4 linked regions of the Diceros bicornis minor genome follow. The protein of the gene in region 2 interacts with the protein of the main gene of each other region in a pairwise test. Links are inferred from orthologs where the notes say so. Each region holds a gene or a part of one and is shown on either strand. Other genes may lie near its edges.

Region 1 (6,941 bases), on a different chromosome or scaffold from region 2:
GAATAGAGCTTCACTTAGTTCTCTACCTGTAGTGAGCTACTTATCCAGGAGTTTCTGGTATACTTCTAAATATGTATGGTATGTTACATACAAATACATTATAAGAACAACTGCAAAAAAAGGTCTAATACCTACAGCAACAGGTAGTCTCACCCAGGCACTTTTCTCTAACTTAAACCCCAAATGGGCCTTTTTACAAAGCATTGCACAGAAATGATCCACTTGTGTGCTTGCCTTCCTAGTGGAAAACAATTATCTTCTTTTCTTGACCTCCTCATCAGACTGATGATTGGCTGCCTTTTTTTTTTTTTTTAAAGAACGAGATTATGGGGTCAAACCAATTTAAAAAAGAAAACGAAAGTTATAAATGAATGTGCAAGGTATGCAGCATGACCAGGTGGAAACTGAGCCGCTGGCCCCTGATGGCTCAATCTCCCTGAGACATCGCTCTGACCCCTCCCTGTGATAAATCCTAGTCTCCTTTGCAATCACTTGTTTTCAGTTTGGAGGACTCAGGCTATCCCTGAATACTTGGTGCGAGTGAGAGAGAGCACCAGGTCTGGTTTGTCCAGTTGAAATCAGTCTCCCTCTTTTATTTTCCCAAACTATGTATCCTGCTGCTGCTGCAGCTGCTACTGGGTTTTTCTTCCTGCCCTCACAAGTCGCCTCCCAGGGTTGTTGGTTTTGTGGCTCTTTAGAAACCACAAACGTGGCTATCCCAGAGAATGGTTTGAAAAGCATAGGATGGGAGAAGATTCCCCTCTTGGACAAGGACCCCAGAACCCAATGCCCTATTACAGGGGTGCTGCTGGGCAGGTGGCCACTGCAAAATGCTACCACTGACATGAACTCAGACTCCTGCCCCGGTGCTGGGAGAAATGGAGACAGGGAAACTGGAAACAGAAAGGTTGGGAAGTTATTGGCACAGATCAACTTCCAGAACTGAGACACTTTCCCAGTTACTTGTTCTAACCTAAAAGAGAAAAACAAAACACGCTACCCTCCATTCCTCTGTGGCAAATCTACAAATAAGAAGTGATCAGACTGAAGACACAATGGGGGGGGGTATTACTCAGAAAAATGCTTATACCCTACCTTGGATTAAATAGCCACAAAATCCATGCTCAGCAAACTCTCTTCCGTCCTTAAAATACCCAGTTGTGCTCTTCACATAAGATGTTCTCAGAGCTTCAGGCTTAGAGAGCATAACTGAGCAACAGGGCAGCACAACTATGCCTGCCAGGCTGCCTATCAACTCCCTCCCCAACCAATAAGCCTGCACTTCCCCAGCTCCACACAGCAGCTCAATGCTCCTGGAAGCCTCTCTCCAGAAGCTAGAGGTACTGTCCTTTTGGAGGGTGGAGGGGTAGGCAGAAGCTCTACCACAGTTCCACCTACACAGGACTCTGGGCCTTCCAGGCCTTCCCTCTGCGAATTTCAGCATATCCTCTAATCCCCTCCCCAAGAGGACTGCCTCTTTTCCTTTATACATTTGCCCCAGTGAAGGGAAAACACTAAACACATGTCCATTGAATTCCAAGATCCTAAAATCAAAGGAGCACTTGGGCTGGGCAGGACAGCAAGCTAGAGATTCCCCAGGAGGAGAGAGACTCAACTGCTAGCCTGCAGGCTCAGGAGGCCTGGAGGAGGGAAGGAGATGGAAGCAGGGGGTTGGGGGAATCTGTCCACCTCTAGGGCTCAGGGGAAACTCTCTCTAAAGCACAGCAGAGGAGATGAGAGGGGAAGAGAGGAAGAGGACTCAGAGATCCTTTGCTCGAAACTGGCAGCTTAGCAGATCTCCCCGCCTAGAACGGGGAAAGGGCTTGCCAGAGGGGGCCTTCCTCACTGTCGGTTAAGTTTTGTTTTATTTTTTTAAACCACAGAAACAGATGAGGGTAGCCTGAGGAACAGTGTTAAAAGACCTGAGCGGTTCTGCAAAAGGAGTTGACTCTGGGCGCGCCAGATTCTGGGTCCTCGCTATCCGTTCAGGCGCCTTTCTGGCCCTTTATTTACTATTGCTTCTCAATGGGGCTTCTTTCAGCTATTGCAAGAGAGTGGAAACCACAGAGCGCTACTAGAAAGGCTTCAGGTTCGCTCTAGTTCCCCCGGGCCGAGAAGCACGCCCAACTCAAAGTCAGACAAGCCTTGGGCCTTGCCTCCTTCCCTGCACCTACCCGTCCCTACCTCCAAATGCAAGGCCCTCTAAGGACCGCAGTCAGAAAAGCCCAGCCGCGCGGTGGTATGTGTGCCCGCTTGGATTTTAACCGGGTCCGGTCTCGATCTCTTTACCGCTGAAACGGACACGTTCACCTTTAACCTGGGCAAGGCACTTGGCGATCCCGACGCAGAATCCAGCCATTTGGCTCGCCCGCGGGCGCCTGGATGCTACCCGCGCGGTAGGCAGACTGAAGGCCGGCTTCTGCCCAGATAGTAAGAACTGGCTTGGCGGGGATTGTGGGGGAAGGCCCGCCCAGGCCTCCCAGGCAGAGCCTCAGCAGGAGCTCGGAAGTTTTTGCCCACGCGCCTGGCCGGGCTCCCGCCCCGCAGACGCTCTTACCTGGCTTGGCGAGCTGTGCCTGCAGCGCCCCGGGCGCGGGCTCGGCAGCCCAGCGCAGCGCGGCGGCCGCAGCCAACTCGGCAGCTGGACGAGGCGGCGGCTGAGACGGCTGCGAGTTCGGCGGCGGCTGCGGGGCGGCGGCGGCGTCCCCCGGCGGCGGGGGTCCGGGCAGAGCGCGCAGCGAGTCGGGAATGAGGCTCTCGAGGCTCTCGTTAGCCTGCTGCCGGCGCAGCGCCACCTGCGCCGCCATGACCCGCTGCCGCTCGATGATGAGGATGCACTTCTCGCAGGTGCAGTCCTTGAAGCGGCAGTAGCGCTTGTGGCCCTTGAGCCAGGACAGCACCCCGTGGTTGCGGCAGCGCGCGCACTTGGGCGTGCGCTGCAAGGGCGCCCGCGGCGGCTGCGACACCGGGCCGCCCATGTACAGGTAGGGGGAGCCGTAGCCGTTCATGCCCCGAGCTCCCGGAAGAGCTTGCGGGCTGGCGGCGGGAGCAGGCCAGGGGGCGCTGGATGGCGGGGTCCTTGGTCCCGCAGCCCCGGCGGCCGCGTGCGCTCCGGGATGGCCGGAGGTGCGGCAGCCGTCTTTACGGCTCCCGCGGCGCTCGCAGCCTCAGTGTCCCGCTGGTACTCCGCCAATCCCACGCCGGTCGCGTCTCCGCCAGCCGCTGCTTTGGCCCGCACGTCCTCCCTCGCCGCGGCGCTGCGGCGGCTGCAAAGAGCCGGCGACAGTTCGGGTTAAGGTCTGAGCCAGCTCTTCCGCAACTCCCGCGCGCGCAGGCCGGGCCCAGCACCTCCTCCACCGCCCTCCCCCAACTCCTCCGCCCTCCCACCGCCACCCCCACCCCCGGGGTCCTGGTCTCCTTGCACTCCCCACCCTACTCCACGCCTTCCTCCTTCCTCGCGCCCCTCGAGTCCCTGCACTTCACCTTCCTTGCCACCTGCAGCCAGGCCACTCTCGCGGGGGCGCTCACGGCCCCCTCCTCCTAGCGCTCTGCGTTTCCCCTGCCCGCGACGGGAGGGACTGCAGCGCGCCGGGATGCGGCGGTGCGCACGGGGCGGGGAAGGGGAGGACTGGCGGGGGTGAGGGTGGGGTGCCTGTAGGCGAGTGAGGCGGCCGCTCCCCTACCCTCTCTTTTTCTCCCTGCAGGCCTAATTTGGCGGCACCGAGCCCGAGGCCGCTTTTATCCCAACGTTTGGCCGAAGAAACTCGGCTCGCGAGAGCCAGGGCCTACTGGAGCGTTGCGGGTGCTCTCGGGACCCGGCATGAGCCGAGAAGGTCTTAATTTGGGGCGAGCCTGGCCCCACGCACGGCCACTGGTTGTAGGGCACTGGTTCGGGAAATTTCGGCTCGCTCTTGATTTCCTTTTGCAACACATATTTTATCTTGTTGCTGTAGAAGAAAGTGTTGAAAACCTGCTGGCCCAAGGATGACAACCCATTTTGCAGGCTATTTCAAAGGGAAAAACAGCCCTCCTTCTCTGGCGCGGAGTTTCTCTACCCTCCTCCCCACGTTTTGATAAAAACAAGTCTCTGTCCTGAAATCCTCTGTCTGCTCGTGTGGAGGATTTGCTTAAGTGCTGCGTCTAAACTTTCAGCGTGGACGAAGGAGCCACGTTAGCGTCCCCAAAGTTACCGGATATGATCTCCCCTCGCCCCAGTAGCCGCTGAACCATCAAACGGAGGCCTCTCGTCACCCAATTCAAATCCCCACGGACTCAGTGATTTAGTTATGGATAAAGGATGGGGCCACTTCCTCCCCCACTCCTCCCAGCGTCTTTGGATAGCATAAAACTTTGTTTAAACTGTTATTTGCGTGTTTTTAATCTCCTACGAGTACCGGTTTGGCCTAATGCAGACTGCCGCTACACATGCACAGGGACCCCCAAATCAAAAAACGAAAACTAAAAACAGGTGGATACAGCGGCGCAGGGTAGCACAATGCCTCAGTGCGAAGCCGTGGAGATGGCAATCCCGGAGCCGTCGGTCCGCAGGCTTCTGAGAGCAGAAACTGAGCTCATCTCTTGGCGGTCTGAGCGAATCGAATGCGAGATGAGAGCATAGATGAGTCCACTGCAGTGGCCAACCGTTAGGCTGCACCTCGCCCCTTGTACCCTCGCAGAGGCCACTTTTCTCTGCACTGCCTGGAAACAAGCAATCCGAAAATGTCTCTGTGCTGTGAATTCGAGTAAAAGCACAGCCAGGCGTTCTTCTAGCCAACCCTCCGCCTGGAAGAGGGATTCTGAGAGGGGAAGAGGTTTAAAAAGGGAACACGGTTGTGTGTGTTTCCTTTGAAGCCCTTAGCCGTCCCCAGTTTCAGACCTGTCCGGGAGTTGGGGATCGCTGGAGGCTGACCTGGTGGGGCCTTTGCAGGAAACTCTTGCACGAGAGCGATAACCCTGGGAGGCCTCCTCTCGAAGCTGCGTCGGGCAGGGACCCCTGGGGTCTTGCCCCTTAAACCCCCCACCCCACCACCGCTTCAATATCTCCTCTCTTCCTAAGTTTCGCTAGGAAGAAAAGCCCTAAAACACTACAACGAGAAGGAACTTGATAACCTCTCGGGACTGGAGGCAGAGGTCACCCGCAGCCCGGTGAGCCAGAGGCCAAGAAGTGGGGCAGCAAGTCGCTTCACGTGATGAGACGTACAGGGCCTAGAATGACACTGAATCTGAGAACTTCCCCACTGAAATCTCCGGGTCGCTTGGGAACGTGAGGAACATGGACTTTTTTCAAAGCCAAATTTCTCCCGATTTTCTCCAAATGGTCAAGGAAACCCGGGAGTATAAGGAACTTGGGAGTAAAGAATTTTAAAGGAAAGCAGAGGTTTGGGGGGTATTCCCACTTCCAAGACAACCCCTTTCCCCTCTCGGTCACCTAGCCACCCTATCCCTTTGCCACTCAAACAGTCTGGCATTATTTGGTCCCAGGGCCCTGTTTCACTTCAGTGCACATCGGGGGCTGAGATCTAAATACTCGTTTGATATAGCGCAATAATCCTTTTCTCATATTTGATGGGAATGTTTTCCATATCCCAGTATTTGACAACATCTCCCTATAGGGACAGGTTTGTATTTATGTTGGTAAAATGTCCCCTGCCTCAAAGTCTATTGTAACCCAACACCTGACAACCCGGAGTCCCATTTCTGTTTGCAGAAAGGGTTTATTCAAGCACATAATGGGATCCCAGCAGAAAGCCTTTCAGAACAAGGGGCTATGGTAAACTTCACCACATGAACTCCGTTTCCAGGGCTATTAAGCTTTTAATTGGAAAATAGCAGAGGAAATTTCAAGGTGACTATAACGTGTTAGCAGTTAGTGCGGAGAAGAAAAGCCGGAGCGGGAATGAATGTAGAAAGCATATGGTCCGAATCACATTTAGGAGGAGCGGCCCACTTCTGCTAAGTCCCGGCGGCTTACACACTTATGGGAAAAATCATCCAAGACATTGGAAAGGGAGGGGGGAGGATTACAAGTCAATGTAACCTCACTAGACTGGATCCACTCGCGTTCTGCTCTGGGTGGGGAGTGTGTGTGTGTGTGTATGTGTGTGTGTGTTTTCAAACCACAATTAACCGGGTAGAATTGTGACAGGTATTAACAGCGAAAGGGTGAAAGATAATGTGCGTATGTGGTTCTCTCGCTCGGCGCACACACAATCTCACGGTGCGTGTACATCTAAAAGCTGAGAATGCAGGTGCCCTCGCTGAGAAACGGAGGATGTTCTGCCTCCACATCTGGCAGTCCTGGTAGCTGCTCCTCACCGCAAGCAACGCTTAATCAAAACGACAGTTTCATCTTGTCCCGGATGTATACTGTATCAGGAAATTTTCTGCGTTGCTGCATTCTCATGGAGCTGAAGGTCAGGGTTCCTATTTTGCCGTTTTAATCGAGACTACGGTGACGCTGGAGGCCGGGGCGTGCAGAAAACACTTTAAATGCAGGAAAACGAGACCCCTCTCCTCGCGCAGGGACTTCTCAGCTGTCACCCTGTCCGTGCCTCTCGGCAGCGCTCTTCGACCAGCTTCAGATGGAAAGGGGGGAACAAATATCTTTGAGGCGGTGGGGCAACCAGCAATCGCTTTTTTGAGGTGACAGCAATGCCCTTGTTCTCCCTCAATTAACTGGGGAGAAATTCGTGTGCACCCCCCAAGGCATCCCTGAAGAGGCCCTCTGGGGCGCGGAGCGGAGGGCAGAGACCACGTGCGGCCGGGGTGACTGAAGCTGCATCAGGCGGGCCCGGGGGACGCCGCTGAGCAGAAGGAAGGTCCTAGACGGCCATGTCCCCCACACCATGTTGGCAGTGGGCAGCCTGAGGATCCTCAGAGGCCAAGGCCTTTTGGAGCAAAGGGGAGGGCAGAACGGCCTGCAACCCCGCCGGCCTCGTGCA
Region 2 (7,438 bases):
AAGCACAACAAAATTTCCAACCCACATTTAAAGGAAGCTGCTAAAAATTAAATCAGAGAGGGGGCAGAGCCGAGAAGCAGTGAGGGCACTGGGAGCTTCCCCCAGGAGATGACAGGGAGGACAGGAGAGATGGCACCGAAGGACCCCTCACTGAATTCCACCAACCCCAGGGGTGGGCTCAGGCCCTGGGATTCCTAAGATGAAGTCAGGCTGGTCTCAGGACAGCAGCCAGAGGGACAGTGCAGGAGGAGGGGGGTTGCACACACAGGAAGATCCTGGGGGAATCAGCTGCTTGTCCTCCCAGCCTGAGGACAAGGACGAACCCCTCAACTTTCTTGTCCCTCACTCCCCCACCCCCTTCCCAGCTATGGGGCTGTACTTAGAGCTGGGGATCTGGGCTGCCAGGGTCCAAAGAGGTGCTATGAGAAAAGCATCTAAACCTTTAGCCCAGAACCTGAAGCCCCCAACACACCTCAACTGCATCTCTCTCTGCCAGACCCCAATCCTATGGCCATTTACAGTAGACCCGAGTTAAAATGGTTTCATCCACCCATGCATCCGTTCAAGCAATGTTCCAGGAGCAGCTAGACAATAAGATCCCTGCCAGAGGCTCTGGGAACCAGAGGGAATAGGGACCTTGAGGATTAACAAACAGCGGTGATGTGGTTGGAGGCCACCTCCGCCCACCTGAACGGGATATGAAAACTCCACTGGTGGCTGTGGGTCTCTGGGCAGCCTACGGAGACCCTGAGGTTACATAATTTGTGGGGAGGGAACCTATGCTATCCCACCTCAGAATCCTGCCATCAGCTAAGAGCCACTGGCAGGACCCCAGAGGGAAGCCATGCAGGGGAGCCAGCGCTGTCCGTGGTGCTGGCATCCCGCTGCCTTCGATTGCGCCTAGAAATGTCCAGACAAAGCTGGGGTCAGCGGCTGGGCTTCCCGCGGCCTTAGAGGGCTGGGCCGACATTGGGTGGGAAAGATGGGGCAAGGACTCTTCCAACAGTCCGGGTCAGGCCAGGGATTCAAGGATTTCCCTGGAGGAGCCAGGCCCTTTCCAGAGATGCCCACTTCCCGCCCTGCTTCCCATGGGAACTTTACGTCAAGGGCTCCTGACAGCCCCCAATCACCTGCCAAACGCCCTACCCTCGGGACCCCCAGCTCTGCGATCCTCCTGCATCCTCTGGGCAGCGGTGGCCCAGCATGACCTCTGCGGTCCTGGCAGCTGTCTCCTCAAGGCCTCACAACAGGCCCGGCCCATCCGGAGACCAAAGCCATGTGAGCCATGGTCTCCCGCCCCCGTCGGAGCCCAGAGGGAGTCCAGCCGGGGCCTGGGAGGGGCAAGGGCTCTGGCCGTAGGGCTAGAGGGAAAGGGCTCAAAGGTGGCTTCTCCCACAGCCCAAGCCTCGGTAGTCTCGCCTGACCAGTTCCTGCCCTCGTGGGCTCCGTCCCGAGCCCGGACCCCACCTGTGGCCGGGTCCACAGTGCGGCCCCCACCGAGGCCCCGCGCCCTGCGCCGCCCAGCCCCGGGCGAGATGGCACTCTGACTCCGCTGGGCACCCATCGCCTAGCGCCCCCTCCCCAGCCCCGACTGCAGGCTGGGCTCCGCGGGCTCTTGGGAGGGAGGGAGCTGCCCTGGAACCACCGGGCTCTGGAGGCCCCTGGGGTGGGACCAGCAGAGCTCGGTCAGCCCCGCACGGCCAGAGACCTGCCTGGCCTGGCCGCGCGGGGGGGGGGGGGATCGGTCTTCGCCTCCATCCTGCCTCCACGCTCCCGCCGTGGTCCCGGCTCACGCGCCCTTCCGCCCCCCGCAGCGCCGCCGCTGCCCCCGCCTCTCCACTGCCCGCGATCGGAAGCCAGATCCCCAGCAGAGGGTGTCCTTGCCCCAATCTCAGGGACCCTCCCGTTGAAGGCAAGCCCGCACCCCGCCACGAGATGGGGAGTGCGCGCCAAAGGCGGGGGAAAAGGGGGCGGCACAGGCGGAGGGAGCGGGCTGGCCGACCGATGGCTCGACGGCCCGCGGGGTGGGGGTGCAGCCCGGCACGCGCCCTAACTTCGCCGCTGGGGTGGGGTGGTCCGCGAGGTGGGGAAAGACCCCGAGGGTCAGGGAAGGAGCGCCCTGGCTGGGGCAACTTCCCGGGCCCAGGACCACAACCTGAGCGCTCTCTGCCCCCGTTCCCACCGTCGCACCCCGAGTCCTCTCCAACCTACACCAACTCGAGACACGTCCCAGAATTACACACCCTCCCCACCTGAACCCGAACCCCAGCCCCAGTCCTTTCCCCAACCCCACTGGCCCTGACCAAGGGGTGAAGCACGAACTGCCCCCTCTGCTACCCGGACAGATGCCCTCGCGAAGACCGACCTCGCCCACCCCTACGTGCGCCCCCTCGGAGAAAGAGACCTCCCCGAGCCAACCGGGAGAGAACTTTACCGAAAGGGTCTCAGGGTGACCAGGCATCTTCTGACCATTATCTTCCCATCGGGGTTCACTGTGATCATTGTTCAAACTTGTCTGGGCGACGAGCCGCGGGCGAGGCCAGACGCACCGTCCCGGGCCCTGCTCCGCCGCGGGCCGAACCGGGTCCGAGCGAGGCGGGGGGCGCGGGGGCGCGGGGGCGCGGGGCTTCTCTGCTCGGGCCGCGGCCCGCGGGATCGGCTCGGCTTCGGCAGGCAGGCGAAGGGCGCGGCGCGGCTGCCGGAGGGCGGCGAGGGCGCCCGGCCGGGCCGTCTCTGCGTCTCCGCCCTCCCGCTTCACATTTTGGGGGCCGAGAGGCGGCGCGCCCCCAGACCGCCGGCCGCGCGTCTGCCTACTCGGGCTCGCTCGCTGGGCGGGACGGCGCCGCGGCGCGCAGACGGGCTCCCCGCCGCGGGCGCCCTCATCCCCGGGCCCGCGCCCTCGGTGCCGGCTACAGGCGGCCCCGGGCCCGCGCCCCGGCTCTCGGCGCCTCCGGGCCGCGCCGCTCCCTGGCCCGGCGCCGCGCCGCCCTCATGGTTCCCGGCGGGGGCGCCCTGCGCCCCCCCCTGCTGCCCGCTCGCTCGCTCGGCTGCCCGCGCTCGGTGTCCGGCGTCCGGCCCGCGCCGCGCTACACCTGGAGGCGCCGCATTGTTTCCTCGGAGGAGGCGGCCGAACCGCGGCTGGGGCGGCCCGGGAGCGGCCGCCGCGCTTCCTCGGCGCGCGGCGCCACCTCGTGGCCGCAGCCCAGCAGTGCGCCCTCCCGGCCCGGGGCGGGGCACCTGGGCGGGCTGGCGAAGGTCTCTGTGCCTCCCTCCAGCGGTGCAACTTCCCGGGGCCCTGCTTTCGGAAGCATCCTGGGTGCCACTAGCCCCTAGGGCCGAGGGCTGCTTCGGCTCCTGCAGAGCACAGAGGAGGTCAGTGCTAGGAGGAGACCCCCTCCCTTCCGCCCGGTGCCAGGGCCCTCCCGCGGACCGCTGCCTCTGCAACCATTGTGGGCTTCTGCACTGGTCGCTTCACACTCCCTCTGATTTCGCTTTGCAAGCCTCACCATCCTCTGGCCTCTCTGGTCAGAAACCGCCGCGGCTCCCTTTTGCTTACTGATCTGAGTTCAAACTCGGCCTGTGGCGCTCAGGCTCTTCCGCTGAGCCCAGAAGCAGGGGCCTGTGGTCCTGGGTTCTAGTCTGGGATCCTCCATGAACCGGCGGGGGTGCCTGCAAGTCAGGGGAGTCTCCTGGCCTCAGTTTTTCTACTATGAGATGAGAGTGCCCAGACTCTCTATAACGCGTTTATGTGCCCCCACCTCCCTCCCCGTTTTGACTTTGGAGATGTGTTTTCCATTGCAGAGACGGTTAGGGATCCTGCACGCACACCGAGGCAGCGCAGCTCCCAGAGCCAGGCCTGGATTTGAGGACAGCGCTGAGGCAGGAGTAGCACTTTTGGAGACGAGACCTTGGCCAGGAGCAGACATGGAAGCCCCTGGCTAGGAAGAGCCCAAGCCCTCAGACCACGTGTAAAATGACATGGATGACCCTGAGGGTCTTTCCATCCCAGGCAGTGACGCTGCAGCCTGGTTTTGGAGAAGAGAAAACCTTTATTCCCCTCCTCTTGCCCTGGCCCTGTCCAACCAGCACCCCTCCCATCCCCTTTGCTGCCTGCGCAGCCCACCTCCCAGCCCCTCTTCTGAGCCATTTCTCACCAGCAGTGACTCATGCTCCTCCTTTTCCTGCTCCTTTTTCATCAAAATTCACCTGTCCCGTGTTCCATTATCTCATCGCTTTGCTCTCTGCTAATGTGAAAACCGATGATGAATTGGTGTTGACGGATTAATGTGTTGCTCCAGCTAGGTAACAAATTTGCAGTGAACAAGGACGTGCTGACTGTGCCTTCGTGCAGAAGAGTGACGAATTGTGGCAGGAAATGTGGGCATCACGGCAGGTTGGCCAAGGAGATATCTGAGGGCAGAGACCTCTGCTGGGCCTCTGAATCACACCTTGTGCCTGGGTGCCTACATCAGCCACACACTCAGGCAATAATTTAAGTCCTGGGTGTCAAGGCGAAAGCCGTAGCTACAATAAGGAATGAAACGGCCCTTCCGATTGTGTGTGTCTCTCACACAAGCTCAGAGGGTCGAATTTACACCTGGTTGGTATTTTAGGCCAAAGGGGAGGGGAGTAGATGGAGTCTCCTCAAAAGGCATGGCTGTGTCTGCTGTGCTCTGGGAAGGTGGCCTTCCCTCAGCCAGAAGCCAGAATTCAGAAGGTGGGACAGGGTACTCCCCACGCCCTCTGGGTCTTGCCCTCTTGGATATAGGCTTTGAGATGCTCAGGGGGAGAGCACCGCTGCCATTGGATGGCAGGCCCGGGCTGGGCAGGGAGGTGTGGGGCAAACTGCGAAAGAAACTGTCTGAGCCAGACCACCCAGCTGTCTCTTCCTTTCAGAGTCTGTTTCCCTCTTGTCAGCCACTCATCTGCAGGAAAGTTCAGTGTAAATGGTCCTGCTTGCTCTCTGTTGTGCTGCAGACATTAGGAGAACACTTGTGAATCCGCATCCCATGTACCCTTGGGTACCACCTCTCTGCCTCAGTTTCCTTGGTTGTAAATCAGGCCATTTACAACCTGCCTCATAAGGTGGTTATGAGAATTGAGCCTGTCGATGCCTGTAAACAGCCCACTGCCTGGCATCTGTGAACCCTCGCAGCATGTGGTTATGCTTTTTCCTGTCACTGTTCGCCCATAGCAGACGCCCTGTTCCCTGGGCACATACCTCTACACGCCAAAAGGCGGATTACTGAGAAGACATGCGACACTGCCTGAGGCTTTTCTTCTGGCTGTGGGAATATGCTCGAACATGCAGGGGCAAGACAGAAGCGCCAAGGAATTGGTGCCCCGGAAGCAGCCTTCATGGAATGGATAGTTACCCAGGTGGGATACTCTGGCATGTTCCACACCAGCTCCCAGAGTTCCCCAGCGAGACTGAGCTGCAGCTGCCCGCGGTGGTACCCAGCTCTGTAATGCACCTCGTGCTGGCTTCCTTCTCTTCCCTGCCCCATTCCCCACTCCTCCGCCCGTGTTCCCGGGGTCACCTCCCAAATACACTGCGGGTACTTGAATCCTTGCCTCAGAATCCACTTCCGGGGAGCCCAAACAAGACCCTGCCCTACAGGCCAGTGTTTCTCAGCCCTGACTCGCAGCAGAATTACCTGCAGAATGTAACAAAACAGAGTCCTTGTTCTGATTCAGTACCTCAGTTGGGGCCTGGGCACATTTGTTGTTTAACGCCACAGATTATGCCAACATAACTGGCCAGCGTTGAGACCCACTGTTCTAGATAAATACCCCTGGCCTTCTGATATGGAAGCAGAGTCACCCTCAGCAAGCTAGAGGAGAATAGGGGAGCAGGAATTGGGGGCACTTCTGCAGGAGGGCACATCCAGGGATTGATGATGTCAGGTCATACAGATTCCAAACCCCTTCCCTTTCCACTGGTTTTCTCTTTTGAGGCTGTAAGCAGATCCACAGGCTAGCCCAACCTGGGGGTCAGGGGGCAAACTCTGCATCAGCCTGGCACTCTAAATTTGGCATGTCCTGGCTCTCTCCGCTCCCCTCCAGATGGACCTGCTGGCCTGGCCAGAGGGGTCAGGAGAAGCCCAGAGCCAGCAGGAGGCCCTGGCCATGCAGAGGAGGCCCTCTGTCCAAAAAGGGGGAGCCGGATCCAGGGAAGGGATTTGGGAGAAGTGGGTGATGTACCACTATTTAGGAGTGTCCTACTCAAAATACCTAGAGGGTGGGCCAGGCAAAGAAGGGAAGGGGGCTATCTTAGTTTCCTAGAATTGCTGTAACAAATTACCACATACTGGGGGGCTTAAAACAACATAAATTTAGTTTCTCACAGTTCCAGAGGCCAAAAGTCCAAGATTAAGGTATGGGCAGAGTTGGTTCCTTCTAGAGGCTCTGAGGGAGAATTTGTCCCATGCCTCTCTGCTGGCTTCTGGTGTTGCCAGCAATCTTTGGCATTGCTTGGCTTGTAAATACATCACTCCAGTCTCTGCCTCTGTCTTCACATGGCCTTCTTCTCTGTTTGTCTATCTTTCTCCCCTCCTCTTCTTATAAGGACACTAGTTATTGGATTAAGGCCCACTAATCTAGAATGACTTCATCTTAACTAATTACATTGCAAAGATCCTATTTCCAAATAAGGTCACTTTCTGAGGTTCAGGCAGACATGAATTTGGGGGGGACACTGTTCAACCTGCTACAGGGACCTAGTGGAAAAGGGCCAGCGTAGTTAGAGACTGTTGAGGACAAGAGGTCTCTCGGGGGCACAAGCCACCATTGTTTTGTGTGAATGCGGTCCCAGTTATTTCAAGGGAGTCAAAAATCTGGGCTTCTCATGTGAAGTTGCATAATTTAAAAATGTAGACTCAGTATTTTTAGAACATTGTGCAAGACCAATAAAATCCATTGAAGGTCTGCTGTCTGGGTCCCCTGTGGGTGTCACCGGAGGGCAGAGCAGGGAGCCTGCCAACCCTGCCCACCCAGCAAGTCCAGCTTCCCCGAGGCCAGCTCCCCCAGTAGACACCTCACTGCCCCCAGAGAAAAGTCAGTGCTCCTAGATGCTCTCCTTGCCCCCTCGCTGCCCCCCCTGGAGCCTCCCTGGGCATCAGAGCCTTGACTGCCGCCTCCACCTTCTCAAGGCATCAAGGTTGCTCTGGGGCTCACAGACGGGGCCTGGGGTAGGAAGAGGAAAGAAAGAGACAAGCGGTTTACAGTGTTTGAAATCCCCACTTAATGTGCTCCGACTGGGGCAGCAGATAGCACGTTAAGAGGCAATAGGCCGTTGTCCCTTGCTGGAGTGCGGAGTACTCCAGTAAACAGCATTTACTGACACTGTGCACAAATCATCAACAGCCTCACTGGGCGGGGACAAGCAGCCCCACACAGACGCCAACCACCTCGAGTCGCTGGGGGAGGCCAAGAAGCG
Region 3 (7,564 bases), on a different chromosome or scaffold from region 2:
CCAACAGATTATAACTAAGCCAAACAGATGCTTAAACATATCTGAAACTTGAATATATTTATTACAGACATCTTAAGACCCGTAAACTCTGCTCTGGATCACATCACTCCAGGATCTCAGAGCTGTTCATGATTGTACAGGAAATGGGGAATATCATAGACTCACAAAGAATAACTGATAGAACTCAGTGTGGTACTTTAGGGACATCAAAACATTGTGCGACATGCAAAAGACTATTCACGAATCACACAAAATATACATTCATTGTGCCATCCATCACATTAACAACTGAGCTGAAAATAAATCATATCCAGCTAAGATAACTGTGGAAGGAAGAAGCTGATTTGAAGAATACTTTTAGGTTCCCAATAATCCAGCACAAATTTTAAATAGAGTGTGGCCAGAGAAACCAGAAAGGGTGGGGATGAAGAGAGACAGCACAGGAAGCAAGGTTTCTGAACCTTGTGTTCTGCAGGCCTTCTGAACTCACTGAAAGAAGAAATTGAGACTATCCTCGGAGGCATCTGATTGAGTTTAAATGAGGGCTTTAATTGTTTAACCTATAATCACATCTAAAATTGTACCAGCTTTGAGAGTTTGCCCCACCCTGTTTTAGTTGCTTAATCTAAACGTTTCTAGAAAATCTGTATAAAGATAAATCTCTCAGGACAAAGTATTTACAACCAGCAAACTCACACACATGAAACAATTAAATTAAGAGATGAATTAATTGTGTAAACATGATCATAGTGCATCTCTTCTTCGTGAGCTCCTGGAATCTCTCCTCTCTCTCCATCCTACTTTAAGGGCAAAGTAGGGGAGAACTGTAAATATACAGATAGATAAAAGATGAGAGGCCTTCCTCTGACATGTTTCTGCTGGCAAAGAAGACTATTTTCCAAAGGGCATCTGAAAGGAACAGTAAGTTCTGTGGAAATCTCCCAAAAGTAGGGAGGGGTATTAAGGACCACCAGAAAATTGATGCTGGCACCCAATCTGCATTAAGGAGTTAACGCCCCACCATCACCACCACCACCAATTGAACCTTTAGTCTAGAATTCTCTGGAAACACATTATTCTAGCCAGGAGCTCCCCAGATAGGATCAGAAAGGAAGAGAGAGGCTGTAAATGGAAAGGAAGATAAGCTAAGAATGTGCTTTGGGTAAGAAGTCGCAGCCGGAGGAGTAGCCTGGGCTGTGGAGTCTGGGGCTGGGGGCGGCCTCAGTGGGAGGTAGTCAGAGTGTCTGAGGTAGAAGACGCTGGGGAAGGAACGCAGGGCGAGGAGCTGGACTTCTCTGAGGATTCCTCGGCCTTCTCCTCGCTTCCCGGCGGGGTGGCCGGAGAGATGGGCAAGAGGCCCTCCTTCTCTCGTTTCTTCTGCTTCATTCGGCGGTTCTGGAACCAGATCTTCACTTGGGTCTCATTAAGCTGTAGGGACGCGGCAATCTCCACCCTGCGGGCGCGCGTCAGGTACTTGTTGAAGTGGAACTCCTTCTCCAGCTCCGTGAGCTGCTTCGTGGTGAAGTTGGTGCGCACCGCGTTGGGTTGACCGACGTAGCCGTACTCTCCAACTTTCCCTGGGGGCAGGGTGGGAAGTGATGAAAGAGAAAAAGATAAAATTTTTACAATCGATATGAAATCCCCTACACTCTTCAGAGCAACATTCAGGTAAAGGCGAGATCAAGAATTTCTCCACAAACCGGGCTGGGGAGAGTGAGTGATGAGGTGTAAAGTGTTAATCTGAAGTCAGCCATTAGCGTGGTCAGACCGGTGATTAATGGAGCCTGGAGATATTAACAGAACCCCCCCCCCCACACACACACACAGACCTACCCACTTCCTACTCCCAGAACCTCTAAAAGTCAGCCTCTTTGGAAACACAACAGTCCCAGATGCTCCTTTGCCCCAACACACCTGGGCAATGTGCCCATGCCCTACAACACCGGTAGGAAGCAAGAACTTTTTTAAAAAAAGCCGTTATTAATTTTACTTGGAAACTAAGCATACCAGCTCCTTCCAGAATCATCAAGAAGCATCCACAGAATGGCAAGACTGACCTGTTTTGGGAGGGTTTCTTTTGACTTTCATCCAGTCAAAGGTCTGCGCTGGAGAAGACGTCTCTGATGCAGGGGAGCGACAGGCTTCTTGGTGGCTGGCGTGGAGAGGGGACAAGGAGTTATTATACGTGGCCAGGGCCAAGCTCTGATGCTCTTGTCCATATGAGTGGTGAATATACTGAGGCGAGCCCACCGCGCCCCCGGCATAACCCTGGTGGTGGTGGTGATGCTGGACCATGGGAGATGAGAGATTTCCAGAGTAAACAGCGGGAGCGCACGAGGGGTACCCACCACTTACTTCTGCTTCCTGATTTAACGGGTAGGGGCTGTAAGGCGCGCCGAAGTTCTGCGCGCCGTAGCTTGGACCACAACTCGAGTGGGAGTACGACACCCCCAGGTTCCCGGGAGTCTGGTAGGTGGCCGGCTGGGGGTGGTGATGGTGGTGGTGATGGTGGTGGTGGGGCGGGCTGATCTGCACCCCCCTGCCCACTAGGAAGCGGTCGTCGCCGCCACAGCTGTTGGCACTGACTGCACACGACTGGAAAGTTGTAATTCCATGGTCGGAGGGGTAGGCTCGCGCTGAGCAGGTCCCCGAGTCGCCACCGCTGAGGATGGGGTATTCCAGGAAGGAGCTCATTCTTGCATTGTCCATCTGTCACTGAGTGACCGGGTCCTGTGAAGCCCTGGTTGACCGTGCCAACTTTCTCACTTCCTCCATGGGGCCGGAGAAGAAAAATGATATGAATGTACAGTGCGCCAGAGGGGGGGCGGGAGGGCGGAGGGCGCTTGGGGAGGGGCACGTGACTAAATAAACCAATGGCGGAGCCTCCTGCGAAAGTTTGCTGGCTCGCGCGGTGATGGATCACCGTTTCAGTGGCATTTAAATCCCCGGCGCTCCTCAGTCTGGGTGACGCGCAGTCGCCCCCCCAGGCAGCCCAGGCGGCGGCAGCAGCTGCGGTGGCTGCAAGGGCAGATTCGGAGCGCTGGGGTGAAGGGGAACAGAGGCTGCCTTCTGCGCGCGCCGACGCCGCTCGCCCCCCCCACCTCCAGGAGGTGGGGGCCTGGAGGCATCCCCCGTCTCCGCCTCCCTCCCCACCATGCAAAGAAAGATGAACTGGCAAGAGGTGAGAAGACAAGAGGGCTCCGTTCTCTCTTGGGTCGGGAATCAGTGGGCCGGAGCTCGCTTGGCGGCCTCCAGCACACAGGCTGAGCCCGGAGGCGCGCCGAGCTGGAAGGGCAGGTCCCCGGGCGCTTTCACTGCACAGTTCCTGCTGTGGTGCCGTGGGGCAGTGAGGAGCGCACGAGGCTGGGCCACCAGCTCTCCAACCTCTGAACGGAGAGGGAAGTGCGCAGAGAGCTGGCTGGGAGGAACCTGGGTGGGCGTGGAGGGGACGAGGGCAAGAAAAGAAACTTCCCTTCTCCGCGGAGGGTCTCCGAAGCTCCCCCCACTCCGACGCACACACACTGGCTATTAACATGGCAATAAGGAGTTTCTGTAATTCGACGCCCGGGAACGGGTGAGCCCTAGGAGCTACGCTTGCCGGAAAAGGCCGCGGGTGGCCCGGCTCTTTGCCCTCCCTCTCTCCTCGCTCTCCGCCCCTTTCTCCTCCCCACTCAGCTTTGGTCCGGGAGCCCTACGAGATCTGGAGATACTCGGACACTGGATTTTGAGGGGTAGGAGGCGGGGGAGAGAGATGACGCTAGCGGACGTGGCCAGCGTGGGGGCCGGGCCGTGCGCTGCAGGCCATCTGCCGGCTCCCCAGGATCCAGGAGCCTGAGCGCTGCTCCGGTGGGGGCCTCAAGGGGTGAGACCACAGCTCCAACAAAGTACGCTGAACTCCCCCGCAACGTTTCGCCTTTTCTGGGGGAGGATATTAGGAGTGGTAGAGCTTCCTTTATCCATCCACACCCCATTCTACTGCACGTCTGAAGTGGGAGTGGGGGCTGGCAGGTGGGAGGGGCGGTAGACAGATGGCTGATGGTGAACCGGACGTTTTCTTCTCCCCCAACACCACCTCCTCCCCTTTGTAACCGACTGTGTAGTTGCTTGAGTGAACCTTCAAGTCTTTCCCCAGAGAGACACGTGCAAATCTCAGCGTCATCCCAGGCCAGGGGTCCTGTTTTCCATCACTCTCATCCTACCCTGATGCTGATGGGGTCGTTAATTGCTGTTTACTATTAGGTTTCGTGTCAACCCTTGGCTTGTAGAGAGAAAAGGCCAAACAGAGGCCGAGAATTGATGCATTCTTAGGTAAAAGAAATGCAGAGATCATCCAAGAAGCTTTGCAGCTAAGGCTGTATAGATTTTTCTCTGACCATGTTTACCCCATGGGAATCTGACAGATGAAATGTACCTGAGGATTGTATGTGGATTTGGGGTTCCCACTCCCCTCTAGTTTTCCCTCCCCAGTTAGAAGAAGGAAGTTTTGCTTGAGGCAGGCACATCCTTAATGTTAGTCAACTTTTCAGGATTCTGCGTTCTGTTCTCCACATAGAGAAGTTCCCCCCAAACCTGTCCCCGCAAGAGGGACATTTGCTGACAAACTCTTGCAAACATTTGACTATGGATTCCCTCAGTAGCAGAGAAACATTCTCCCTAAACATTTCCTTTTGAAATGGTATTTTCCTGTGACCTTTGACCCATCCCCAATCTTGGTTAAGAGGGAGCAGAGGCGGGAAAGGTCACTCCTGCCCCAATTTCTGCACCTGGGGAACCTCATCTTAGAGAAGGGAAAAGGCAAGGCAAGGCAGCCCTCCTGGAGGCGGCTTCCTTGGGAGAGCCAGTCCTCTAGCGACGGGGAGAGAAGGCGCTCCTGTGGGGGAGGAGGCAGGACGTGAGGGGCTGGCACTGCGGACAATATGCTCTCCGAGCCGAAGCTTGTCGGTACGTTCTTCCCCGCTTGCCTCATTCCTGTCCTTTTGTTGGCCTCCTCGGCCCAGGTTTGCGCGACCCCCTCGGCCACAGGGCTCACGCCACAAAGCCGCCCCGGGCCTCCACCGCTCTCCTTCCTCTGCTAGTTCTCGGCCTCTGCGCGCCTCTCCCTCCACCTCTCTTCCTCCCTCCAGGCCTCTTTTCTGGGCCAGGGTGGGTGGGCTGTTTTTCTTGAGATCACAAGCTTGCAGTCGCACACAGGCCCGCAGACACACGGGTCGGCGACCGACCCGCCTCCCAGCACTGCCTCCCGCTCCCTGCAGGCCGGGCTCTCGCGGCTGAGCCGGCTCCGCCCCGGCTGGCCGCCCAGAGCGCTGCTTTCCCGGTGCCGCTCACAAAGGCAGCCTCCTCTGGCCTCGAGCCCGCAGGCTTCCGTACCTCGATTCCTTCCCCACCCCCACGAAATCCAGGGGCTCATTCCCCCGCGTAGGAGACCCTTGGTCCTGTGGACAAGTAGGCCGGGGCCCCACGACTCGAGCTGAAGTGTCTTTAAACGCCACCGGAGAGTGGGTGAATAGGCGAGCTTGGTCCCTATTTAAATGATCGCCTGCAAGCGGCTTGCTGGGCTCAAAGCGCCTCTTTCAGGGCTATTCTACTAGAAAGGGAAGGAGCGAGGAGGAGACAAAACGCCGCCGAGGCCCGGAGCTGTTCATGGCATCCGCGGCTCAGCCAAGCTGTTGTTTTAAAAGAGCAATAAAAATGAATTATGACTAAACGCCTTCTAACTTAATGCTTTCGGACGGGGATCCCCGGCAAATACGTAAGAGGATTTTTATTTGTGCATGTGTTCCTGCAATTGATCTCTTTGATGACATTCTCATTCATGGAAAGCGTTTGATTTATGAGCGTAGGACGAATCGCAAACGGCAGCGGCTCAGCCCCGGCCGCGGCCGGGCCGCCCTGCTTCGCTCAGCGCTTAGGGCAGGAGACCTGCCGGGGTCCTCACATGCCTCCGCCGCTGCGGGGATTTAGGGGGCAAAGAGGTGGGGAAAGGTAGGGAGCAAACCCACGGAGAAAGACCGCGATTTCCTTGTAACTTCCAAGCCTTTGCTATTAAGAGCCGGGTTCTTAAATCAACCCGCCCCCACACATGTTGCTTACACGCTGCGTTTTCTCACGGTAAGTAAGGAGCCATCAGAACAGCTCAGTACGGAGAAAAATAAACATGGGGAGACTTAGAAGGGAGAAAAAAAAAAACAGAACAACCCAGTAACATACCCTAGATCACATTTTATTGATATTTCATTTAAAGTGCTTTTTCTCTTTCTCTTTCTAGAAACTGGATTAATTTATAACCTAGGGTGCAGAAACACTCCATTTGAAATCTCAACTTACTAACTTGACTTCAAAGCTTTCATGATCCATTATTTGCCATGTAAACAGATTTAAGAATGAAATATTGATTTTATGACCCTGAAAAAACGAATCCTAGAATGACTGAACCAGAGAATTGGAAAGAACCCTTTCTGAAATGTATTTTCCAGCTAGTAACCATTGTTTTGTTTTATTTTTGTTTTTCTCTTTTAGGTCTGTTTGCCTGGACCCATCAACAGCTGGGAGACTAATCCACCACACTGAAAATGTGCGGGATATGTGGGGGAGGGGGTTGGAATATAGATGTTTGAAACAAATGTGTATAAATAAATGAATTGTTGATAACTTATTATGTTATTGACTGGAGACTGGTAGCTTGTTAAAGAAACTCCATGTTCCTCCAACCTGGAATTGGGGGTTTCTGTAGGCACTTTATTTCTCCACTTTCAGAAGCTTGGGCTTGGCCCAACTCGGAGGCTGCCCAGTCCTGTTTCTATTACCAGTTTAAATCTATGGCTTGAACCTCTACACTAAAAAACCAAATCCATTCCCTTAAAAAAAAATGCAAAACATTTCTCAGAAGCCCTAACCATTTTCTGGCTTTCTTTTTTGTTGCTATTTATTGATGACTTTAAACATGCTCCTTTAATAAATATATTAAAATTGAAAAAGATGAATCGTGACCAGAATTTTATTTACCAAGTTAGACTAAACGAAGAAAAAGAAAACATTATGAGCCTTGAGAAAGAGGGGGAGAAAAAAATAAGAAAGCTACTTATAGCAAAGGAGAATTTATTCTACCAAAAAATACGCATGACAATGCATCCTAATGTAATACAAAAATAAAAAGAAAGTGAAGATACAATTATATGATCACTTTCTTGCAGGCCTCATATATTGCTTTCAGGAAATCACATAGAGGGTTGTTGGATGAGATTTAAAACAACTAAAACTCCAAAATAATCTGTAAAAGATGGCTCTGAAACTGGGTCAGGGGAATCACTAAACAGAAAATCGTCAACATTTAAAGGAGGGAGAGGGTAGGCTGGGAAGAAAATAAAAGAAAAATCAACTCTCAGAATAAAAGAAGGCAAAACCACCTGGTCAAAGGGGTTTTTGTTTTGTGATGCTTTGTTTTGCTTTAATGTTTTTAGTAATTCAGATGCTGCAAGTCAATTGTGGTGAGTGTGTCTGTAAAAAAGTCAAAGCTGTCAGCTGAAATATCTACAGGACTGTCGAGGGAACCTGGCAAACTGGGCGA
Region 4 (6,222 bases), on a different chromosome or scaffold from region 2:
GGTAGGGGTGGGTGAGGTGGAAAGGGGTGGAAAAGAAGCACTACAAAGGGGCATTAGGAGATTATGGGGGATAATGAACATAATTATTATCTTGAGTCTTGGTATATACAGATGTCAAAACTTATCAAATTGTACTCTTCAAATATGTTCAGTTTATTATATGCCAATTATATCAATAAAGATGATAAGATATACAGGCAAAAGCAGGAAGTTGAAAGAGACCTTGTAAAAGTGAAAGGGACAGAATTCAGTCTTACCTATGAATAATGGAAGGAATACCTCCACCTACCTGTCTTTAATACAGGTATAAAAGGATGTGTTAATTAATACAAAACAGTTTCCTAACATCATCTGGGGAAAGTTCTTGTGTATGAATGAAGTGGGAATGAGTGGAGAAAATTTTGTTCAAATCATGTATAAACCATAATTTTCACACTCAAGAATGTTATAATATAATAAAAATTCAGTTGAATGTAGATTACCACCTGATAGCCTTATCAGTTACATAAACTCTACATTGCTGATCAGGGAATTACTTAATTCTTCCAGCTGACTATAATTTAAGATTTTATGCATGGCATCCAACAGGGGGTGCTAAAATTAGGCCACTTCATTATGTTGTAGGTTGCAATGCACTGACTCCAGATAATTGGTTGTCTTCTCTAAGCCAAGCTACGATGAATATTAATCAGTGATATTAGAATGGGCAGCAGAAAAACTTGACAAAGTGTCTTCAGTCCCCCTGAACCTCTTTCTATCTTCCTGTTCTTTTATATTCCTTGAAAGTTGACCTTCCCTGGTAAAAATGCAAAAATGGTGAGAAAAGTATATAAAAGAGATTCTTGACTTGACTAAGTAAAGGTCAATTTTTATTTGATAAAGAAAACCTAAGTTATATTTTGTGAATGCCATGATATTAGTCATCAAATATTTACTAAGGATCGACTAAGTTTCCTCACATGTATTGAGAATAATGATCACGCCTACTCAAATAGGGATGCTGTGAGGATTAAATCAATTAATACATGTAAAATACATAGAACCGTGTCTAGTACATAATAAGGATTCTGTAAACAGTAGCTAATAAGAGTTCTGTAATATAATCAGGAAATAAGACACATAGAGAAAGAACATTTTGCTTGCAAAGCAAAGGAGTGTGTGTGTGTGTGAAATAGGTAATGATAAATATACAAATTTAAAGCTGGAGAGATTTAGATTGGTAGGAATGTATTTACAAAGAAGGGGCTAATTTAGCTGAGGTTTGAATGATAGTTAAAATGAAAGAATTATTCCAAAGGAGAGGAAGAATAGGATGAATGAGGAGATGATGTAAAATGAGGATGGATGTGGAGTAATTGGAGACACGAACAGACAACCCAAAAAGAGAAGAGAATCTCTATTGGGAAGCAGAGGAGGGCTAATCAAGTGTTTGGACAATTCTCTGTGGACAAAGGGGAGTTATCAACATTTTTGAGTAAGAGAGTCATACGATAAAATTAATTCTAGAAGTATTAATCTAAATGCAGTATTCAAGCTAAAGAGAAGACAATAGGAGGCAAGATGGCAGTGAGAAATGTATTTGTTCACCAAAGGGGAACAAAATCCAACTTGAATGATGGCAGTGATAACAGAAAAGGGAAAATGGATGAAAAGACATAATTTTAGTGATCAAGGAAGAAAAGCCTTACAACAAATTTTCACTCTGTCCAATCTATGCTGCAATTTAATCACAGCACTCTCTTCTTGAAATCAGTTATTGGATCACCACACCTATAGAACAAAATCTTAACTACTTCCTTGATGATTGGATTAGATTCAGCGTGTGAATCTAGGTTTAGTTACTACAACTTGCGTCTAAGAACCCTTCACTGAAAGCACTGTCGTCATTTTTTCTGCCTTTATACCTTTTGCTACAGCCTGAAGTGTCTTTGTCTTTCCCAAACCCTCTACCATTTTCTCTTATCCTTCAAAATCAATATCAAATGCCAATTTTAGGTGAAGCCAATGAGCAACATTTGCTCTTTTCTGTACACCATTTATAGAACTTAGTAAGCACTGACATGAATTGTGTACTTGTCTTATCATATATACAAGATTGGATGTGTCTGGCAGCAGAAATCAATGGTATCTTGGTATTATTGCAAGCATCTATCATAATGTTTTGCATATACAAGATGCTCAACAAATATTTGTTGAACGAATGAATGCAAGGTATGTCATTTATTGACATACCTTTATTGTTGCAATGCTCTGAGGATTCTTTACGTCTAAGAGAGAGAAATTCAGGATTGCTTCTCTACAGTAAGACAGGTAAGGACCCATAATTCATTGAAGAAACAGTAACAAAGTGGGTAAATCTGGAGGAGCACACAGGATGCCCAGTTCTTTAGTCTACCTCTAGCTCTTACATCAGAAGAGCTTGAAACCTGTAGTTTATAGGAGCCTGCTAATGACGTACCTGCTGTTATGCCTACATGAGCTCTTCCCTTTTAGTGACTCGGTCACTATCAAATAACATCAGTTCAACATTTGTTATGTTAAGGTACAACTTACATTCAGGGCACTCTATTTTCTGAAATTCCATGGATATTTTTGCTGTGTTACCCACCCACAACAACAAAAAAATGCAAGTCTTGTAGGGCGCTCTAAAGGAATTAAACCCAAGGTGGTACTCTTTAGAATGGATTAAGGATGCCAAAGCAAGAAAATAAATTATTCTGGTATAGTGTTTTGCAGTACACATTTAACTTTTTCTTATATCTCAATGTATCCTAAAAATGATACTAGACATTACTAATATACCCATTGTTCCATAAAATAATACTGATAGGGACTGGGGATCAGAGTAATTATGAAAATTGCCCAGGGGCACATAGTTAGTAAATGATGGTATCAACATATCTCTATATAATGTCATATCAGATAATGGGACAAAAAACTGTTTGCGGGTTAAGGACCCCCAAGCAAATGTTCAAATGTTTGAAACCCTTTTGTTCAAATATTTTTCTTCATTTCAATTACTGTAAATTTCTTCATCTCAAGTTTTCTCATGAATACTTGAAATAGTAAAATTTACTGTAAAGAGTTGTGAGGATAAAATGACATTGCACATGTGGGTACCCGCACTGCAAGGTGTTGCCCAGAGTAGACGCTAAATGAAGATCAGTTTCCTCATATTCTACATCCCTTCTCTTCATGGAAAAACATTCATTATACATAATGAATACATAACATAAACAATACACACACACACACAAATATATTGATGTACTAATGATGCAGGTATTGGGCTCTTGCTTATGTTAGAGAAGAGCAGGCACAAGGAACATCAACATATAAATCTGATAAGCATTCAGTTAAATATAGCTGTACCTATTACTAACGCCATTTAGCTGAGGCCTCCAGGATATCACAAGAAGACTCAAGCAATGTGTACCAAGAGTACCAGGTGACAAAGCTGGGGAAGTGGGGATTGGGGTTGGGGGGACTCCTCAAACACATCAGGTACAAATCATCAAAGGGTATTGTTCCCTGACCTAAAATACTGAGATAATTTCATCCTGTCAGTACAGGCCCTCAGAGACTGTATCACGTTCTTTTCATATTTCTATCCTTGGTAGTAAAATAGTTCTATATTGGCTTGTAGAGAAACCAATCTTCTATTTCAAAGATTCTGCTCCTGGACAGAGGGAGACTCAATCCATGTGGGCGTTTTCGTTAAACATTAAAATAGAAGAAAGTGCTGTGATTTCCGTTGAATTTCTAGCTAAAGGGCATTGGAAATCAGATCCAGCAGATAATTAAAATTTCCATTAAAATAGCCATTGGAGCCACTAGATATGTTGGTAGATGAAAAACACAGTGAGAAGATTGAGGCTAAATGCAACCATGTTTTCTAAACCAGTTTTTACCAGAAAATATATCCCCAAATTACCTTCCAAGTACTCATACTTAGGAAAACTTTACATTTATTCTGATGCTATTGCTCATGTAAAGCAGTTTAGAAACTCCTCTCTGGAAATTGATATGAGAACCAATGGAAGAAGCAGAACCACATCCACGTCCACGTCTTAATCATTATGTCCCTTTTTTTCCCAAGAATAGTAGTTTTCAGTTGGGACGTGAGTAACCATGAAATACATAGCCTATAATAACTATGAAAAATGTCATTTGTTCAACTTTCTTTAAGTGGTTTTATTTGCTTTTGTCACAGAAGGATGTATAATTTTAACTGAGCCCAATGTATTTATCTGTATTAAGAATACTTTAAACATCAAATAAGCTTTCAGTTTGACTCAGTTTATTTATTTATTGAAATGAAGAAAATGGGCTTGATTTTCTAAAATGAAGATATTTTGGTGGGAAGTCACTTTCTACCAGGATTCAACAATAAAACAAAGTACAAATTTGGGTGCATTGACATTTTCCATTTTGTACTACTTTTAAACTCTTTCTGCCCCAAACCATATAGGTTATAGGATTTTTTACATTCTTTTACAACATACTTGCTTTTAAGTTTCTTTTTTCGACAATTTCCTAAAAGAATAGAATTTCCTCTCAAAGAGAGCTAACTTGTCATTGTTTCAAAGAAGTATTCTACAACTTTTGAAGACAAATCCAAGAGAGGCATTCTAAGAATGTTTAGGCAGAGGTGGTTATAATTGGAATACGTGAATGACCTTCAAAAGTATCTGTTTGGGTTGGATAATTTAAGAAGGAGAGATCCTATTAAAATTCAGTCACTCTGCTCTGTAGAAATGATGGAAGGCCTTGCCAGGAACATCCAGTTTTATGAGAGGTGGGAGCACCACTTCCGGGCTATAATGAAGAGTTCTGAGGCAGCCTCACACAACAAGGAAGAAGAGAGTCTGTATACACGATCATCACCTTCCAGGGATATATAAGGGATCAAGCCAAACGAGGGGCACAGCGAAACTTGAGACACTCGCTTCTTTCCAATCAACCCCAGCCTGCTCTCGGCACCTCACCATGTCTTGCCACAACTACTGCTCTGGAAGCGACAGCTTGGGATCCCTCAGAAATCTGTGTCATATTCCTCTCACCTCCTCCATTTCCCTCTGCTCTACAAATGTGAGCTCTGGAGATGTCCTCTGCTTGCCCAGCAGCCATCAAGACCACACCTGGCTCCTGGACAACTGTCAAGAGACCTGCAGTGAACCAACCAGCTGCCAGCCAGCCAACTGTGAGCCCAGCAACTTGGAAACTTCTCACTGCCCCTCCACTGCTTACTACGTGTCCGGACCCTGCCAAGGAACCACTTTTCTTCCGGCTGCTTCTTACGTCTCTAGCTCCTACCTCCCAGCATCTTGTAGACCTCCGAGGTATGTGTCCAGCAGCTGCCGACCCCTGCGCCTCCTCCCTTACGGATGCCGCCCCTTGGGTTGTTTGCCCTGTGGTCCTCAACCCCTTAGCGTCGTGTCCAGCTGCCTCAGACCTCTGCATCCTCTCTCCATTGGATACCGACCTCTGACCCATGTGTTCAGCACTTGTCATCCATCTTGCTCTCCACTGGGAGGCCAGTACCCTCCTTGTTCCAGTTTATAATCATGCTGAAGATCCAAGGCAAAAATTCCAACTCCATGGACTTTTGCTTCTTTCCTAGTAGTGACTGCATTTTCTTGGTTTTACTGTGCCTGATCTAATGCAAGCTGCTCTTTTCACATTTTTAACTCTTTTTTTCATCTCTCTCTGACATCAAATTATTTGGTTTACAATGTTATTCATATTGCTTGGGTGTGGGAAGAATTTCTTTGGTTTATGCTGTAATAAATGAGATCAAATCAGAATTAAGATTCTGGTTCTTCAATTTGTCTTTTATTTCTTCATTTTAACGGAGAAATGACCAACCTCAACTTCTTGCAAAATAAGTAACTAGGACTTGGGACACTCAAACATATGTTCTTATCTGACAATAGGGGTATGGCTTGATGGCTTATTCTTTGAGCTGCTTTCTAGATCTCGCCTCCTACGTACTTGAGAGACCCCAAATGTTCTTGGTGGAAGTTATTTTGAAAAGGCGAGATTAGGAATGATCTCCTTATCTCTGTCTTCCAGTGAACATACTTCCACCAGAATGTCCTTTCTAATCACAAACTGAGCCATATTTCAGGCCTGCTTAAGCGTTTGATGGCTTCCTATGATCTTTTCCCACAAAATAAAAAAAACAAACCCCTTACCATGACATCAGCTTCCTTCATTGTC

The links.
Region 1: the proteins of MGAT5B (region 2) and DMRT3 interact in a two-hybrid assay, tested with the Homo sapiens proteins (2 studies listed by BioGRID). The two-hybrid records come from large-scale screens. The link is inferred for Diceros bicornis minor from reciprocal best matches to the Homo sapiens genes MGAT5B and DMRT3.
Region 3: the proteins of MGAT5B (region 2) and HOXA1 interact in a two-hybrid assay, tested with the Homo sapiens proteins (2 studies listed by BioGRID). The two-hybrid records come from large-scale screens. The link is inferred for Diceros bicornis minor from reciprocal best matches to the Homo sapiens genes MGAT5B and HOXA1.
Region 4: the proteins of MGAT5B (region 2) and keratin-associated protein 26-1 interact in a two-hybrid assay, tested with the Homo sapiens proteins (3 studies listed by BioGRID and IntAct). The two-hybrid records come from large-scale screens. The link is inferred for Diceros bicornis minor from reciprocal best matches to the Homo sapiens genes MGAT5B and KRTAP26-1.

What each region holds. Positions count from the first base shown.
Region 1 is NC_080761.1:25,499,196-25,506,136, reverse strand, and holds the start of DMRT3 (doublesex- and mab-3-related transcription factor 3), read right to left. Parts: upstream 3,009-6,941; coding exon 2,558-3,008; intron 1-2,557. UniProt on the Homo sapiens protein: Probable transcription factor that plays a role in configuring the spinal circuits controlling stride in vertebrates.
Region 2 is NC_080757.1:57,054,324-57,061,761, reverse strand, and holds the start of MGAT5B (alpha-1,6-mannosylglycoprotein 6-beta-N-acetylglucosaminyltransferase B), read right to left. Parts: upstream 3,014-7,438; 5' UTR 2,503-3,013; coding exon 2,435-2,502; intron 1-2,434. UniProt on the Homo sapiens protein: Glycosyltransferase that acts on alpha-linked mannose of N-glycans and O-mannosyl glycans.
Region 3 is NC_080742.1:51,929,162-51,936,725, forward strand, and holds HOXA1 (homeobox protein Hox-A1), read right to left. Parts: upstream 3,001-7,564; 5' UTR 2,710-3,000; coding exon 2,058-2,709; intron 1,578-2,057; coding exon 1,222-1,577; 3' UTR 43-1,221; downstream 1-42. Other genes in the region: HOXA2 (homeobox protein Hox-A2), read right to left, coding at 7,454-7,564. UniProt on the Homo sapiens protein: Sequence-specific transcription factor. Regulates multiple developmental processes including brainstem, inner and outer ear, abducens nerve and cardiovascular development and morphogenesis as well as cognition and behavior.
Region 4 is NC_080766.1:31,087,016-31,093,237, reverse strand, and holds keratin-associated protein 26-1, read left to right. Parts: upstream 1-4,922; 5' UTR 4,923-4,989; coding exon 4,990-5,565; 3' UTR 5,566-5,702; downstream 5,703-6,222. UniProt on the Homo sapiens protein: In the hair cortex, hair keratin intermediate filaments are embedded in an interfilamentous matrix, consisting of hair keratin-associated proteins (KRTAP), which are essential for the formation of a rigid and resistant hair shaft through their extensive disulfide bond cross-linking with abundant cysteine residues of hair keratins.